Linked DNA regions of Canis lupus familiaris. The protein of the gene in region 4 purifies or fractionates together with the protein of the main gene of each other region. This does not show direct contact. Links are inferred from orthologs where the notes say so. Each region holds a gene or a part of one and is shown on either strand. Other genes may lie near its edges.

Evidence for each region.
Region 1: the proteins of RYK (region 4) and ADGRA3 purify together in Homo sapiens (affinity purification with mass spectrometry; 3 studies listed by BioGRID and IntAct, with this or other methods). This does not show direct contact. The link is inferred for Canis lupus familiaris from reciprocal best matches to the Homo sapiens genes RYK and ADGRA3.
Region 2: the proteins of RYK (region 4) and NCR3LG1 purify together in Homo sapiens (affinity purification with mass spectrometry; 3 studies listed by BioGRID and IntAct, counting the BioPlex papers as one, with this or other methods). This does not show direct contact. The link is inferred for Canis lupus familiaris from reciprocal best matches to the Homo sapiens genes RYK and NCR3LG1.
Region 3: the proteins of RYK (region 4) and PCDH7 purify together in Homo sapiens (affinity purification with mass spectrometry; 3 studies listed by BioGRID and IntAct, with this or other methods). This does not show direct contact. The link is inferred for Canis lupus familiaris from reciprocal best matches to the Homo sapiens genes RYK and PCDH7.

What each region holds. Positions count from the first base shown.
Region 1 is NC_049224.1:88,004,045-88,007,606, reverse strand, and holds part of ADGRA3 (adhesion G protein-coupled receptor A3), read right to left. Parts: intron 2,115-3,562; coding exon 1,901-2,114; intron 1,673-1,900; coding exon 1,464-1,672; intron 1-1,463. UniProt on the Homo sapiens protein: Orphan receptor that may have a role in planar cell polarity pathway.
Region 2 is NC_049242.1:40,592,449-40,596,500, forward strand, and holds the start of NCR3LG1 (natural cytotoxicity triggering receptor 3 ligand 1), read left to right. Parts: upstream 1-1,224; 5' UTR 1,225-1,298; coding exon 1,299-1,392; intron 1,393-3,639; exon of another isoform or gene 3,640-3,771; intron 3,772-4,052. UniProt on the Homo sapiens protein: Triggers NCR3-dependent natural killer cell activation.
Region 3 is NC_049224.1:80,974,876-80,978,969, forward strand, and holds the start of PCDH7 (protocadherin-7), read right to left. Parts: upstream 2,803-4,094; 5' UTR 2,682-2,802; coding exon 1-2,681.
Region 4 is NC_049244.1:31,574,253-31,578,282, forward strand, and holds the start of RYK (tyrosine-protein kinase RYK), read right to left. Parts: upstream 2,818-4,030; coding exon 2,580-2,817; intron 1-2,579. UniProt on the Homo sapiens protein: May be a coreceptor along with FZD8 of Wnt proteins, such as WNT1, WNT3, WNT3A and WNT5A. Involved in neuron differentiation, axon guidance, corpus callosum establishment and neurite outgrowth.

The DNA.
Region 1 (3,562 bases), on a different chromosome or scaffold from region 4:
CACTGTCAGCTGAGCTAAATAACCGAGGTATTAATGGGGGTCACTGAAGACAATCCTCACGCCCTGCTAAACAATATATAAACAATATATTTCCTCGTCTGTCTGTCTCACCAGATGCTGGGTAAGGCATGTACTTAGTTGAGGTGCGAAGAGAAAACCAAAAAAGGAGTTCAGGAAAGTCTATTCTATTCCACTTCAAGCTGCCTTCAAAATCATTTCTAGTGGTAAATGAGCTTTTTTTTTTTTTTTTTTTTTTTTTTTAATTTATTTAAGAGAGAGCGCATGTGTGCTCGAGCGAGCACAAGCAGGGGAGGGGAGGAGGAAGCGGGGGGAGAGACTATCAAGCAGACTCCCTGCTAAGTGCAGAGTCAGAGGCAGGGCTTGATCCCAGGACCCTGAGATCATGACCTGAGCCAAAATCAGGAGTCAGACGCTGAACTGACTGAACCACCCAGGTGCCCTGCGCTTTTTTTTTTTTTTTAAAGGAGAATTTACGAAAGCTAAGATATATCCTGTTTCAAGATTATTTAGTGCTTTGATAAAATACTGTCTAGATAACAGATTCAGAGCTGGAGGCAGGAACAGAAACATAAGCATCCTCGCTCCCACGCTAGCCTTGTGCCATTTCTCTAAAATGTCTTTCAGATTCATAAGTAATTCCTTTCACTGTTCTCCAAATTCATTGCCCACATACTCCATGTATATACTGTAGCATAAAATATATTAAAGTATTATGGCTCATTTCACACTTACCAGCTTGGGAACCAGGTTCACTTAAGTAACTCGTTAATAAAAGAACGGTCTCTGTATGTTCACACACACGTTTATGTACATCTATCTACACATTTTAGTTTCCCCAAGACTAAAGAAATTGGCTACCAAAGACTAACAGGTATGAACAGTGGTGAATAACAGAAAATAACATTAGCTTGATTAGAGTTAAAGGCAGAAAGACATGACCCATGTCAATACTGTCATTTACCGTGACTAAATTGAACTTGCCACCACTACTCTAAATTCATGAGTCTAAAACTTAGGATGTATCGTGGGGAAAAGTGCTAGCTGGCAAAGAAGAAAAATCTCACTGTGCACCGTGTATTTGGGCAAATGAGTCACTCATTCCTGACTAAGAGTTGGACGATATAAAACCCCAAATGTCTCCAAATTTTCATAAGCTCAAAGTTTTTTTTTTTTTTTTTTTTTTTATAAGCTCAAAGTTTAGTTGAACTGATCCCCTTATAAAGGTGACTGAAAATCCTTATAACCAAGTTCAATCCCATACATTGTACTTGGTAGTAACTTAAATTCCCTTTAAATTCAGAATTACACCAAATATCACCTCTTAACTAAAGTCAACAACTTATATTGAAAGTTTAAAAAAAAAATCTTCGAGATTAACTAAATGCATAGGGGAAACAATTAAGAAATTTAGTGTTCATGTATGAAATTAACAACTGCCGTACCATTAAAACTGCATAGTTACTAAGGGAGTAGCACTGAATGGTAGTGATATTTTCATCCGAGTAAAGTATATTGCACCCATCTGACTTCCAGCCTCCTTGTCCGTTCAGCAGATCGAAATCCCACTGGGCGGCCACAGCGTCTGCTCCGTGTGCGATTCGACGCAGTGTCACATTAACAGGGATGTGGTGGGTATCCACATTCACGCCATCTGGAGAAGATGGGAGATGGAAAGATTTCTGAAACAAACCTCAGAAACAATTAAATGTCGACTTATACACCAATGGGCACTCTGCAGTTCTTTTTTTTTTTTTTTTTTTTTTTTTTACTAGGGACTCATTAAAAGGAGAAGGAACAAAAATAAGCACTTTTTGGTACAGCTTATCATAGAGTTCCACTGTCCGGTCACTACAGGAAGAACATATGCCACCGAACACACCTATTTTGGTGAGAATCACTGGGGTAACCACCGTACGCCGCTTTCCATCATCAGCCAAGTTTGTGGAATTCCCAGTGGCTGGGAAGAGTTTTCCGTTGCGGAATGCGATGAGTTGGAGCTTGTAGAGAGAGTCATCAGGTGATCTGACTTCCCTTTTTTGCTTTGGCGAGAAAAGGGAGGGAGGAAGCTGAATAGAAGCCTCGACGATCGTATTCTGAACACACATGAAAAACACAAAGAAAGTTGGCACGTGAGCATGCAGAAACCAGAAAGGACAGTTCAGACGGCTACGAGCTGTCCCTGATTGTATGCCGCTGGCCAGGCTGCTGAATGTGATGTGCACGATACTTAACAGTGAGCACGATTTATCAGTTAAAGGAGATATCTGGACACCACACAGAAGCACAGAAGAAAAGCAGCAGAGACTACAGAGAAATGCAAACTGTATTTCCAAGAGTTAAAGCAGTAAACAAGGAATTACTTCACACTCGAAAGTGAATTTTCCCATGGTAACACACCTACTGCTGAAGTCGATAGCATTAAACAGATCAGGGGTCTGGGCGATCACTCTATCAATTTTACAACAATCAATTATAGACAGAAGCACCAACGCGGCCTACCACAAATGTGAGTTTAATTAATTTGGACTTATGGAACTCTAAGGTGATTTATGATGGATTCAGACTGTCAACAAAAAGAAATTCAGACTTAACAGAAACAAAAAGAAATGCAGACTCCATACAAACAAAAGGAACACAGACTTAATAGAAACTTAGATTCAAGCAAACTCTGATCTCAGCCCAAGTACCCCTGAGACTAAGAAATATGTTAGAAATCAGGTTAGAAAAACATGGTAACAAATAGAACAGCTGGATTTGGGGCTGATCAAGGAGTGTTTTACATATTTTATCAGGGATTGTTAAATTATAAATTATTCAGCATTCAATAAAAAATAAATCTATGTACTCAGGAGGCAAATAATTAGCCATCTTAAGAAAAAAAAAAAAAAAACTGTTTCAAGAATTCATCCCAAAGTTTCTCTCTTGATGTCAATGTCTCTCCAATCCTATGTCCACGTTCCCAACAGAATTTCCTTCCAAGAAACAAATTTGATCTTGTTGTTTTAAAGAACACTCCAGTTCTCCAATGTTTAGAGAACCCTGCCCCCCAAACCTAAGTACATCCTGTGATTTGGCTAAAATCTACGCCTCAAACTCCTCTTCGAACATTCCCTCTACCACCACCGGTAGCCCGGCCACCCTGACTTGATCCATCCTTGAGATTTCCTACGTTTCTGATGCCATTGTGGGTGCTGCTCCCACCAGGATCCCTCGCTGAAATGCTCTCCTATTCTTTTGTCTGGCAAACTCCTGAACTGGGCAGATCCGATTTCTAGCAAGAAAATTCTGCAGGCGGGGATCCCTGGGTGGCTCAGCAGTTTAGCGCCTGCCTTTGGCCCAAGGCGTGATCCTGGAGACCTGGGATCGAGTCCCACATCGGGCTCCCTGCAGGGAGACTGCTTCTCCCTCTGACTGTGTCTCTGCCTCTCTCTCTCCCTCTCTCTCTGTATCTCTCATGAATAAATAAAATCAGGAAAGAAAGGAAAGAAAGGAAAGGAAGGGAAGGAAGGAAGAAAGAAAGAAAGAGAGAGAGAGAGAGAGA
Region 2 (4,052 bases), on a different chromosome or scaffold from region 4:
TTCCTTGTCCATTTTTGTTGCCTTTGTTTCCTTGGGATTCATAGGACCCTGATTCTGGGCCTTTCCTTTATCTTTCCCTCTCTAGCCCCTTCTATCCCTAACTCAATAGCACACAAGTGAAAATCCCAGTGGTTTGCAGAGTGGTTAACCAGGCAAGTATGGGGATTCAACAGATAACTTCCTTTGGATGAAGTTATTTAATCATGCTAGTAATACCAAAGAGGACTCCTCCTCAGGTTAAGCCTTCCTGGAAGAGGTAGCAGTTGAGAAGAGTTGTAATTTAGGATTTTAGAATTCTATGACTGGACCTAACCTTGTAGATCTCTTAACTTGTTAAGACTGCGGACCAGAAACTGTGACATTCTGAAGGCCCCTCAGCAGCTAGTTGGTATCAGTGTGGCCACCCTGCTCACCTCCCAGATTTATGCTCTTTCCACTTCGCATGCTGTTCTGCAGGTGAGAAGGTCAACATTTGCTTAGTTACTGACGGTGCCTCTAAGTCTTCATTCACACCCAGCCTGATCCTGTAATTCTTACAATTGCTGGAGATCCAGCAATTCTCCACCGCTGAGCCACCCATGTGTCCTGCCTTTTTTAAAATTTTATTTATGTTATTGTTTTATTAAAATTCAATTTGCCAACCTATAGTAAACACCCAGTGTCCATCCCATCAAGGGAAGGGCCGCCTTTTGGTGTTTGAGCCAAACGTCCAGGAGATAGGTTGGTTTTTAGTTTCAGAATGTAAACGAATTTTAAAGATATTTATCTTTATCTCTATGTATCTTTAAAGATCTATATATAGAGAGATAAAGATCTACTTTTTAAGAGAGCCACGGCGTCCGCGGGGTGAGGAGGGGCGGGGCTCGGGGAGAACCGGGCTCGGGCTCCGCAGGGAGCCGCGGGTCGGGGGCTGCTGGCTGGGCTCTGGGATCGTGACCGCAGCCCACGTCGAGGGTGGGGGGTGCATCCGACTGCGCCACTTGCCGGGTAAGAGCAGAGACCCCCGGGCCCCCCGGCTCCCGGCCTCAGTTTGCAAACTCACTCTCGCGGGAGGCCAGGTCCCACCTCTGGAAGGCGGGCTCGGAGCAACGCGTGGGCGGACCCGCAACCTCCGATTGGTGCGGGCGTTGCCACGCGCGGGGCGGGGCACGGCCCTTCCGAGGGGAGCGGCGAGGGCCGGGCCGGACTTCGGGGCTCTGCACGCGCGCCTGGCCGGGTGCGCCCCGCCCCGGTGTCTTCCTTCGCGGCGCGGCCCCGGGGGCCTGGGGCTGGTGCGCGCGGCCTCCGCTCGTCTGGCGATGGCGCACGGGCCGCCGCTCCTGCTCCTGCCCGCGCTCCTGCTCCTGCCGGCGCTCCTGGTCCTGGTCCTGTGGTTCGGGACGGCCAGCTCAGGTAGGCAGGGGGGGGGGGGGGGGGCGGGGGGGCCGGGGGCGCGGCGAGGCGGGGAGGCCTGGGAAGTGCCCGGGATCGAGACCCGGGATCGAGACCCGCCTCGGGCTCCCCGCACGGGAGCAGGGAGGGAGCAGGGAGGGGAGCCTGCTTCTCCCTCTGCGCCCCCCGCCGCCCCCCTCGCCTCCGCCCCCCCCCGCTTCCCCCCACCCCCCCCCGCTTCCCCCCACCCCGCCTCCGCCCTCTGCCTCTGAGTCTTCATTCACACCCAGCCTGATCCTGTAATTCTTACAATTGCCCCCCCCCCCGCCTCCGCCCCCTGCCTCGGGCTCCCCGCACCGGAGCAGGGAGGGAGCAAGGAGGGGAGCCTGCTTCTCCCTCTGCCCCCCGCCCCCCAGTCTCTCTCTCTCTCTCTCTCTCTCTCTGTCTGTCTCTCATTGATAAATAAATAAAATCTTAGAAAAAAAAAAAAAAAGCAAAGTATAGGGATGCGGGGGGTGGGGCGAGTAGGAGAGAAAGCAAGAAAACGCTCCCCCTCCACCTGCTGGTGAAGGGCAGTGGTCTGCGGAGGCTTATCCTAAATGACACGGAGGGGTTTGTATGGATCCAACAGGAAACGAAAGGCAGCGAGGCAGATGAAGCGTCGTTTAGACGCGCTGCCAGTTCTTAACCGGTATGTGAGGGGCTTAATGGAAATCGCAGGCGAGAAAGTGTTGATGGTCCGAGGGCAGAGAGGGCCTTAACATTGCGCCTCCTGTTGAGACAGTGTCTAACTTCCTTCCGTGAGAAGCTAGTTGAAAGCTCCATTCAGACGAGATCGGGCGCGTTCACATTGCTTGCAAGTTTCATGAGCTGAAGGAAAAGATAGATCGTCGTTCTGGAAAGAAGCTGGAGGATGGTCCCAAGTTCTTGAAATCTGGGGATGCTGCCATTGTTGATACGGTTCCTGGCAAACCTATGTGTGTTGAGAGCTTCTCTGACTATCCTCCTCTGGGCCCTTTCGGTGACATGAGACAGACGGTTGCTGTGGGTGTCATCAAAGCAGTGGACAAGAAGGCAGCTGGAGCTGGCAGAGTCACCAAGTCTGCTCAGAAAGCTCAGAAGGCTAAATGAATATTATCCCCAATACCTGCCACCCCAGTCTTAATCAGTGGTGGAAGAACGGGTCTCAGAACTGTTTGTGTCAATTGGCCATTTAAGTTTAATAGTAAAAGACTGGTTAATGATAACAATGCATCGTAAAACCTTCAGGAGGAAAGGAGAATGTTTTGTGGACCATTTGTTTTTTTGTGTGTGTGTGCGTGTGTGGCAGTTTTAAGTTATTAGTTTTTAAAATCAGTACTTTTTAATGGAAACAACTTGACCAAAAATCTGTCACAGAATTTTGAGACCCATTAAAACAAAAGTTTAATGAGAAAAAAAAAAAAAAGAAAGCTGCATTCAGAGGTCATAGAATAGAAGTTAAAAATAATAAGATGTCACTTGAGACTTAATAAATTGGCCAGAGTCCACTGGGATGTGCCAAGTGGTGCTGGGTGGACGGGTGGGGATGTGGGAATTTAGGAGACCGGCGGGGTGTCCATCACTGGGGCTGGGGATGAGCCAAATGTGGGTTTGCATGTGGAGAACTCACTACCTTCCACCAGTGGACTAGCTGTACCCACTTCTCATTACCTTCTACCAATGGACTAGCTGTACACGCAGCAATGAGACAGGATTTGAAGCAGTTGCGAAGAGCAGAAACAGTGACAGGTAACTCCAAACCATTTTCGTAAGTTTGAGAAACAAAACAAGGCAGTGTTAAAGAGAACGAAAACAGAAGCTTTAAACATCTTAGAATGGTAACCTGTTAGGGAAGGGAGATGGATATTAAAAAAAAGGGTAAATGGTATTTCTGTACACTGGCAATGAGCAATTCAGAATAAAATTAAGAAACAATTCGATTTTTGACACCACCAGAAAGAATAAAATACTGCGGAATGAGTTTAACAAAAGAAGCACAACAGTTTTACTCGGAAAACTGTAAAGCTTTTTCTTTTTCTTTAAGTATTACAGTTTATTTAATGGCATTAAATAATAATCATCATCATTACCATTAAATAATCATCAAATTAGCAACGGTAATCATCAAATTAGCAACGGTTATCTTCAAAAGTTATTACACTAGGTTTGCTGTCATTTCTCAAAAAAAAATCAGACGCCTTGAATCAGACATTTCCTACATAAGATGCATCTTATAAATCAGAATTGGTCTATCACCAGCACTGATAAAACCAGACCTAGGGAAGGAACTAAGTCTGGGGACACATGCATGGTCTTAATATAGCAAATGTTTAGCCTGCTCTGATTATTACAAAATCAGAACAGTGAGAATATTCGTGGTTGACAAAAATTTAAGAGGATCTAAATAAGTGCGATCGGAAAACATCCTGTCTTATTAAGTCTTTTTAGGCCACCCTAACAAATATCTTAGAGTGAGTGGCTTAAACAACAGATTTATTTCTAACAGTTCTGGAGGCTGGAAAGTCCAAGATCTAGGTGCTGATTTAGTTCCTGGATAGGGGCTTCCTCCTGGCTTGTGGAGTAGTTCCTGGATAGGGGCTTCCTCCTGGCTTGTGGAGCAGTACCCTCTTACTCTATCCCCTAATGCTGAGAAAGAGATC
Region 3 (4,094 bases), on a different chromosome or scaffold from region 4:
ACAATACTGAGTCTCTGTTTGCTGATTTCATAACTTGGGTCACCGGCTATATCCTGGGTGAGCGGGGTGTGCAAACTTCTGGCTATCTGGGAGTCAATCACAGTCGCGTTGGAAACACTTTCATTGACAAACACATGCACCAGAGTCGTGGTGGACTGGGAGGGCTGCCCGCTGTCATTCACTTGCACCACCAACCTGTGCAAGCCGTAATGCTTTTGGGTGAGCTTCCCCACCAAGGAAACCACACCGCTGGTGGGATCAATCTCAAACAGCTTGAAGGGATTCCCTCCCACAATGCTGTAGTTGAGGTCTGCGTTGATGCCATCGTCGCTGTCCGTTGCCAGCACGGTGGCTACCACTGTCCTGACATTACTCGAAGGTGGCAGTAAAGTGTAGGAAATGTTTCTGGGAAGGGTGACTGTGGGAGCGTTGTCGTTCTCGTCCATCACAAAGAGGGAGACGGTGGCCGTGGCCGACCTGGGAGGATCTCCCCCATCCACAGCCTTGACCCTGAACGTGTATGTGGTCTGGTGCTCCCGGTCGAAGGACATGGTGGAGTAAATGGTCCCCGTGTCGTTTTCGATGGAAAAAATGTTACTGTTTTCCTCTATGTAGAGGCTCATCTCTGCATTGCGCCCCTTGTCAGCATCCATCACCGTGACCATCCCCACAGGGCTGTTGGGCTGCAAGTTTTCCTTCACATAAAAGGTAAAGACGTCCTGCATAAACTTAGGGTCATTGTCATTCCTGTCGGCCACCTGCACGATCACCGTGGTGCTGCCCTGCAGCACTGGGATGCCTTTGTCTTTGGCGTTAACTTTAAACTCGTACCTGTCGGTCTGCTCGCGGTCCAGCACGGTGTTGACCAGGATGTCCCCAGAATCGGGGTTGATGGCAAAGGTCCCCATCACGGCGGAATCCAGAGAATAGGCAATCTCTGCGTTCTTCCCACTGTCGGCGTCGGTCGCCAGCACCGTGGCCACCCTCTCTCCGGGGACGTTGTTCTCGGGGAAGTAGACCTCCACCACCGACTGGCCGAAGACGGGCGGGTTGTCATTGGTGTCTCCGACCTTGACGACCAGGGAGTTGTTGCTGGAGAGGCTGGGGCTGCCCGAGTCCACCGCCACAATGACCACGTTGAATTCCCGGGTGGTCTCGTAGTCCAGGGGGGCCGAGGTGTGCAGGAAGTACTTTTTCTTGTTCTGGTCGCCCTCCGTGTCGCTGGCCGGCTTGAGCTGGAAGGGCACGTCCCCCACCACGGTGCAGGTGACCACGCCGTTCTCGCCTTGGTCGCGGTCGGACACCTGCACCAGGGCGATGGGGGTGTCGACCAGCACATCCTCGGCCACGTTGGCCACCCCGTCCTTGAGCGGGATACGCCCGATCTTGCGGATCTCGATGGACGGCACGTTGTCGTTCTCGTCCTTGATGTTGAGCACCACCGTGGCCTTGTCGGTCTTGGGGGGCTGCCCGCGGTCGCGGGCCATGACGGTGAAGCGCAGCTGGTTCACCTCCTCGCGGTCGATGCGGTGCAGGACGCTGAGCCAGCCGGACGTCTCGTCGAGGCGCAGCAGCCGCCGCACCGACTCGGTGGCCGCCCCGAACACGTACTCGATCTGCCCGTTGACCCCCACGTCCAGGTCGGCGGCTCGCAGCTGCAGGATGGGGGTGCCGGGGGCGCTGTTCTCCGCCAGGTCGGCCTCGTACACGCTCTTCTCGAAGCGGGGGCTGTTGTCGTTCACGTCGGTGATGAGCACCCGCAGGATGGCCTGGGAGGAGCGCGGCGGGTCGCCGCCGTCCCGCACCCGCAGGGTCAGCTCGTAGGAGTCGCGCTGCTCGCGGTCCAGCGCCCCCTTCACGATCAGCTGCGGCTGCTTCTCGCCATCCGGGGTGTCGGCCACCTGCAGCTCGAACACGCTGCTGCGGCCGCCGGGGCCGGGGTTGGGGCCGCCGCCGCCGCCGCCGCCGCCGCCGCCGCCGCCGCCCTCCGGGGCGTCCGGGCGCCTCCTGGAGCCCCCGGGGCCGCCGCCGCTCGCGCCGTTCCCGCCGCCCCCGGGGTAGGGGGCGCTGTCGCCAGGCCCGGCTCGCCGGCCCTCGCCGCCGCCGCCGCCGCCGCCGCCCCCGGGCTCCTGGAGCAGCTCGTAGCGCTCGATGCCGTTGCGGCCGAAGTCACGGTCGGTGGCGGTGGGCAGCAGGTAGAGCGTGCCCACCGGCCGGTTCTCCTCCACCGTGAGCGTGAGCACGGGCGACGGGAAGGTGGGCGTGTTGTCGTTGATGTCGAGCACGATGACCCGACCCTCGAACAGGTCCACCCAGCTCTGCGAGGGCCCGATCACCGACACCTCGAAGTCCAGGAAGCACTCGTTCTCGTCGAAGATCATCTGACACTGGGGCAGCTTCTCGCGGTCGATGCGCCGCTCGCTGGTGCTCAGCTCGCCCGTGAGGTTGTCGATCTTCAGGTACTCCGAGCCCGACTCGAGGCTGAAAGTCACCTCGCCCGAGCCCGTCACGATGCCCAGGTCCGAGGCGACGTTGCCGATGCGGACGTCCGCCGGGCCCTCCTCGGCCAGCCGGTACCGGAGGAGTTGCTTGGCGGCCGCCAGGCTGAGCGACAGCGGCAAGAGGAGGCAGCAACCCAGGCACCAGCCGCGCGCCCACCCCGCGGTCCGCATCCTCAGCATCTTCTCCTGCTGCTGCTGCTACTGCTCCTTCTAGGCACGGCCCCCTCGGCGCCCCCCTCCTCCGGGGCCGGCCGCCGGCCCTCCGCCCGGTCCTCTTCTGGCTCCGGGAAAGGAGGAAGGGAGAGGAGGGAGGGGGCGAGAGCAGCGTGCGGAGTCGGCCGGGCGCGGGGGGCGGGGGGGGGGGGGGACCGGCGACAGATCCTTCTTCTTCTTCTTCTTCTTCTTTTTTTTCTTCCGCCTCCTTCTGCTTCTTCCGAAAGTTATTGTTTCATAATTCATGCAATGGGTGCTAATCGCCCGCTCGCCGGCCGCCGTTCAGTCGCAGCACTCACAGTTCACGGGACACTGCGCGCCGCGGGCTCGGCGCCCCCCCCGCCCCCCTCCAGAGTCATCCCCGCGGCGGGCGGAGGATCCCGGGCTCCCGAACCCCCGCTCGGCCGGATGGGGCCGGAACCGCTCCGGCAGGCGGGCGCTGGAGCCGGGAAGCGGCGGGGAGCAAGCTTGCAGCCTCCTCCCCCGCCTGCCAACCCCGTTCGTCTTTGCTGCTACTCGAGTTGAGTCCGATTCACGTTTCAGCCACTCACTCCAGACCCAGCTCCTGCTCCGGCTGCCCAGGCAAACGTGAGTTGCTTCCTGCACGAGGCGCTGGGGCCAGCAACAAGCCGGTCTGAACTCTGACTCCGCTCTGGCAGCGGGGGAGCCAGGCAGCGGATCGAGAATGAAACGGTGGGGGGAAAAAAAAAAAAAGAAAAGAAAAAGAAAAAAGAAAAAAAGAAAAAAAGAAAGAAAAAGAAAGAAAGAAAAAAAAAATCCCTGGCAGGTCGGTCGCTTCGGGCACCGTGCAGTGGAGACCACTCGCGTCACACGGCGGTCCGCGTCCGGGTCCCCCCCGCGCGCCGAAGAGCAGCCCGAGCCATCTTCAGAGACGCCCGGAGAGTCAGTCCCTTCTCACCCCCAAGAGCTCGGGTTTCTCTTTTTTTCTTAACAACTCTGCGCAAGGTCATTAGTCACGAAGCCGCCGCCTGAAACCGCAGCAGCCGTGCGCCCGCGGGGGCGAAGGCTGAGCCGTGCGCACCGCGCGGTGCCCAAGTTTGGGTTCGCAGCCGCAGAGTCCGTGCCTTTCCTCACCTGCATTCGGCCCGCAATTCGGAGCACTGGGATCTGCAGCGCTGTGCGCGATTCAGGGAGGAGATTGCAGCCTCTCTCTCTCTCTCCCCGCTCTCTCTCGATCCCTCCCCTCCCTCCCTCTCTCTCCTCCCTCCTCCTCCTCCTCCTCCTCCTCTCTCTCCTCCCTCCTCTCCTTTCCCCTTTCCCCTTCTCCCACTCCCTCTCTCCTGCACGCTCCCTCTCCTTCCTCCCAGTCCCAGTGCTGGCAACTCGAGCTGAACTTGATCCCTTTGCAGTTCAAAGGTG
Region 4 (4,030 bases):
CAGAAATATAGTACAGGGATCCCTGGGTGGTGCAGCGGTTTGGCGCCTGCCTTTGGCCCAGGGCGCGATCCTGGAGACCCGGGATCGAATCCCACGTCGGGCTCCCGGTGCATGGAGCCTGCTTCTCCCTCTGCCTGTGTGTCTCTGCCTCTCTCTCTCTCTCTCTCTCTCTCTCTGTGACTATCATAAATAAATAAAAAATTAAAAAAAAAAAAGAAATATAGTACAAACTATTATTTCAAGTAGTCTTAAGCACCGCAAGGGTTTCTGTGAGAAACTGCAGTCTGAGAACTCAAGATGCCTGGTAGACATCTGAGTCCTACCCACTTGTTCTTCCCCAAACAGGAGCAGCCAAGAAACTTTAAAGGTACAGTGGATGAGGGAGATGCCCCTGAATCTGGCAAGAAGGGGAGTCAAAAAGACATACTGTAACAGGTCAACTCCTTCTGCATTAGAAAAAATACGACTGGAGGTCTCTCTTGCCCCAGAGGTTGATCAGTGAGGCACTCCTCCTTCCCCTCCTCCCAACAGCCCATTCCTGGCATAAACTGGATCCTCTTCAGTCAGGTGACAGATACATACACATTATTTCAAGTATTAATTAGTAATGACTTCTTTTCCACCACGCTGTAATAAAACTTCTATGTAAACAATATCTTCATTACAATTAATAAAACTTTGTGGCCTATGTCAACACTATGTTTAATTTTTTTTCTTTAATGATTATGAATTGTGTGACCTTGAGAAAGTCACATAAAGCCTCACTTTCTTCCAACTCTAAAATGGGAATAATGGAGTGGCTCAGCCGGTTAGGCGTCTGCTTTGGGCTCAGGTCAGGATCCTGCCTTCCTGGGGAGAAGGCCTGCGCCTCATTGGACTCCCTGCTCAGAGGGGAGCCTACTTCTTCCTCTCCTTCTGCTGCTCCCCTTGCTGGTGCTTTCTCTCTGTGTGTCAAATAAATAAAATCTTTAAAAGAAAAAAAAAATGTTTTTAATAAAATGGGAATAATGGTATCTACTTAACTGGGTCACAAGAAAATGAGAGGAAATGATGCGTATAAAACATGCAGGGGCCGGTAAATAGCAGGCACTCAATCAATGTCAGCCTGGTTGTTCCCAGCCCCCTACCCCCACCTGGCAGGTTTCTAACATGTACTCTTACATATGAACAAAGTCACAAATCATATACAAGCTTTTAACCAAAAAACCTTTAAAATCATGCAGAATGCATTAATATTTTTAAAATAATCGTGAGATACAAGTCTATCTGTGAGCATTCATTATCGTTCCTAAACCTTAGTTTTATGTTCCGAGTACTAACCTAATTTCCAGTTTTAATTCATCTCAACAAAATTTAGCTAATTCAGCTATACGGAAAAGGGGACTAAGAGGGGCAAGACATTACAAAAACACAGCATTCTCCTTTGATTATAGACTAGAAACCCATATATGTAACAACGTCTCAACAGACTGCTAAAAGCAACACCATTCAACACTGAATCGACTTCAAGAAAGTCTTCTAAACTTAAAAAATAAAAATAAAAATAGATAATGGGTGATCAAAAATAATAATAATAATAATAATAATAATTTCCCCTCCCATCACTCAGAGGAGGAGGAATAATATTTAGTGTCACAACATACAAAAGTCTAACACGCCAAGAATGTCTAGATACCCCTAACTACCAAAGACTTCCCATTTGGGGCCATTTTTATCAGACCTCCCTCTGAGGGCTCATTTCCAGAATCCAGTCTCAGTACAAGGACACCATTATTTCTCAAATTAATCCCCCAAACGACAAAGCTAATTAGGTGGAATGGAACAACCAACTGACCCAAAACTAAGTTCTCCTTTCCCTACAAGGAATTCAGAATACGAGGGTGGCCCACGGCCCAACATATCCAAGACAAGAAACCAAAAAGATAACCGAACGACGCTAACAGGTCTGCTACCCGGAGATTCACCCACGATCTAAAAAATATGCTTATCTGTCACAAGGTTTGGAGACTGCCACGAACTCGTAGTGTGCCCTTCCAACCTCTCGCTCCTCCCCATCTCGTTTTTAAAAAGTATTGATAACGGGATGCCCGGGGGGGGGGGGGGGGTGCTCAGCGGCTGAGCGCCTGCCTTCGGCCCGGCCCGGGGCCTGATCCGGGGTCCTGGGATCGAATCCCGCGTCGGGCTCTCTGCGTGCAGCCTGCTTCTCCCTCTGCCTGTGTCTCTGCCTCTCTCTCTGTGTCCACCACGAATAAATAAATAAATACTTAAAAAAAAAAAAAAAGAAAGGTAAGATAACCAGAAAGTAAGAGCAACAGCATCGTTGGCCTGCACTGGGGCAAAGGGCTTGCAGGTTTGGTCCGCGTAAAACCTGGAGGAGCCCGGGACCGGGGCCCTGGATGACAAGCGGGGGGCGGAGAAGCTGGCAGCTGGAGGCTGTGCGCGGGGAAGGCGGCACGGCGTGGCCGCGGGCTCCGCGGCGGGTCCGCAGGGCGGCGGCGCGGGCTGCACTGGGCCGCGGGCGGCCGGAAGCCCCGGGGTCGGCCCGACCTGCCCGTCGCGACGCAGGCGGCCCCACTCACCGATGAGCCGGCGCACCTCGTCCTCGCTCAGGTAGACGCTCACGCTGGGCCCCGCGGCCGCGGGCGACAGCGCGGGAGGCCGCGGGGCCGGGGCGGCGGCGGCGCCGGGCGCGGGGAGCAGCGGCAGCAGCGCCAGCAGGAGCAGCAGCGGCAGCGGCGGCGGCGGCGGGGCCCTGAGGCCGCGGGTCCCCGGGAGGCGGCCCCGGCCCCGCCGCCCCTGCCGCGCCGCCCCGCGCATGGCCGCCGCCGCCGCCGCCGCCGCCGAGGAGCGCGGGCCGCCCGCCGCGCCGCCGCCACCCACCCCCGGCCCCGAGCCCCTCACAGCTCCGAGCCGGGGGCGGCCGCCCAGCTCATCGCGCCGCCGGCCCGTGGCAGCCGCACGCCGCTTCAGACCGCCGGAGCGCGCCGCCGCCGCCGCCTCCTCCTCGGCGGCATCCTCCGCTGCACGGGGGAGGGGAAGGGAGGGGAGGGGAGCGGAGCGGAGCGGAGCGGAGGGGACGGGAGGGGGCGGCCCGGGGGCGAGCGCGTGCGCGCGCACGCCGCCCCCCGAGAGCGCGCACGCACGCGCCGTCCGCTCGGGGCGGGGCCGGGGCGGGCCGGGGCGGGGCCGGGGCGGGGCCGGGCCCGCAGGGGAGCGCTTTGATTTTCCGAGCGCTGCCGCGCGCGCTAGGGGCTCTCCGGGCACCCTCCGAAAGGAGCCGGTCCCCGCCCCTCGTTGTCACCAACCTGATGTTTGCACGTCTATTGTCTGCAGCACCCCCGCTCCCCGCGACACACAGTCCAGACCGGCAGGCCCGGGCCGCGGCTGCCCCCGAGCCGGCTCCGCGGGGGCCGAGGGACTGCCTGCGTGCAGCCGCTCCGGGAGCAAAAGGGAAACTATTTTCCCCTCCTTCTCTCTTTTTTATTTTTTACTTTATTTTTTTAAAGACTTTATTTATTTATTTATTCATGAGAGGCAGAGACACAGGCAGAGGGAGAAGCAGGCTCCATGCAAGGAGCCCGGTATGGGATCGGATCCCGGGCCTCCAGGGTCACGCCCCGGGCCAAAGGCCGGCGCTCAACCGCTGAGCCACCCAGGTGGCTCCCCTCTTTCTTTCTTTTTTAATATTTTATTTAAATTCAGTTTGCCAGGGCAGCCCGGGTGGCTCAGCTGTTTAACGCCGCCTTCAGCCCAGGGCGTGACCCTGGAGACCCGGGATCGAGTCCCACGTCGGGCTCCCTGCATGGAGCCTGCTTCTCCCTCTGCCTGTGTCTCTGCCTCTCATGAATAAATAAATAAATAAATAAATAAAATCTTAAAAAAAAAAATCAGTTTGCCAAACCTGTTTCTTCTTACTGAGAAAATGGTGAAAAATAGAAAGCACCTTTGATCCCACCATCGGGAGGTCCACATTAACCTTCCTGTGTCACTATCCCATGGATAGAATACTACGTGCACTTATTCTCCAAAA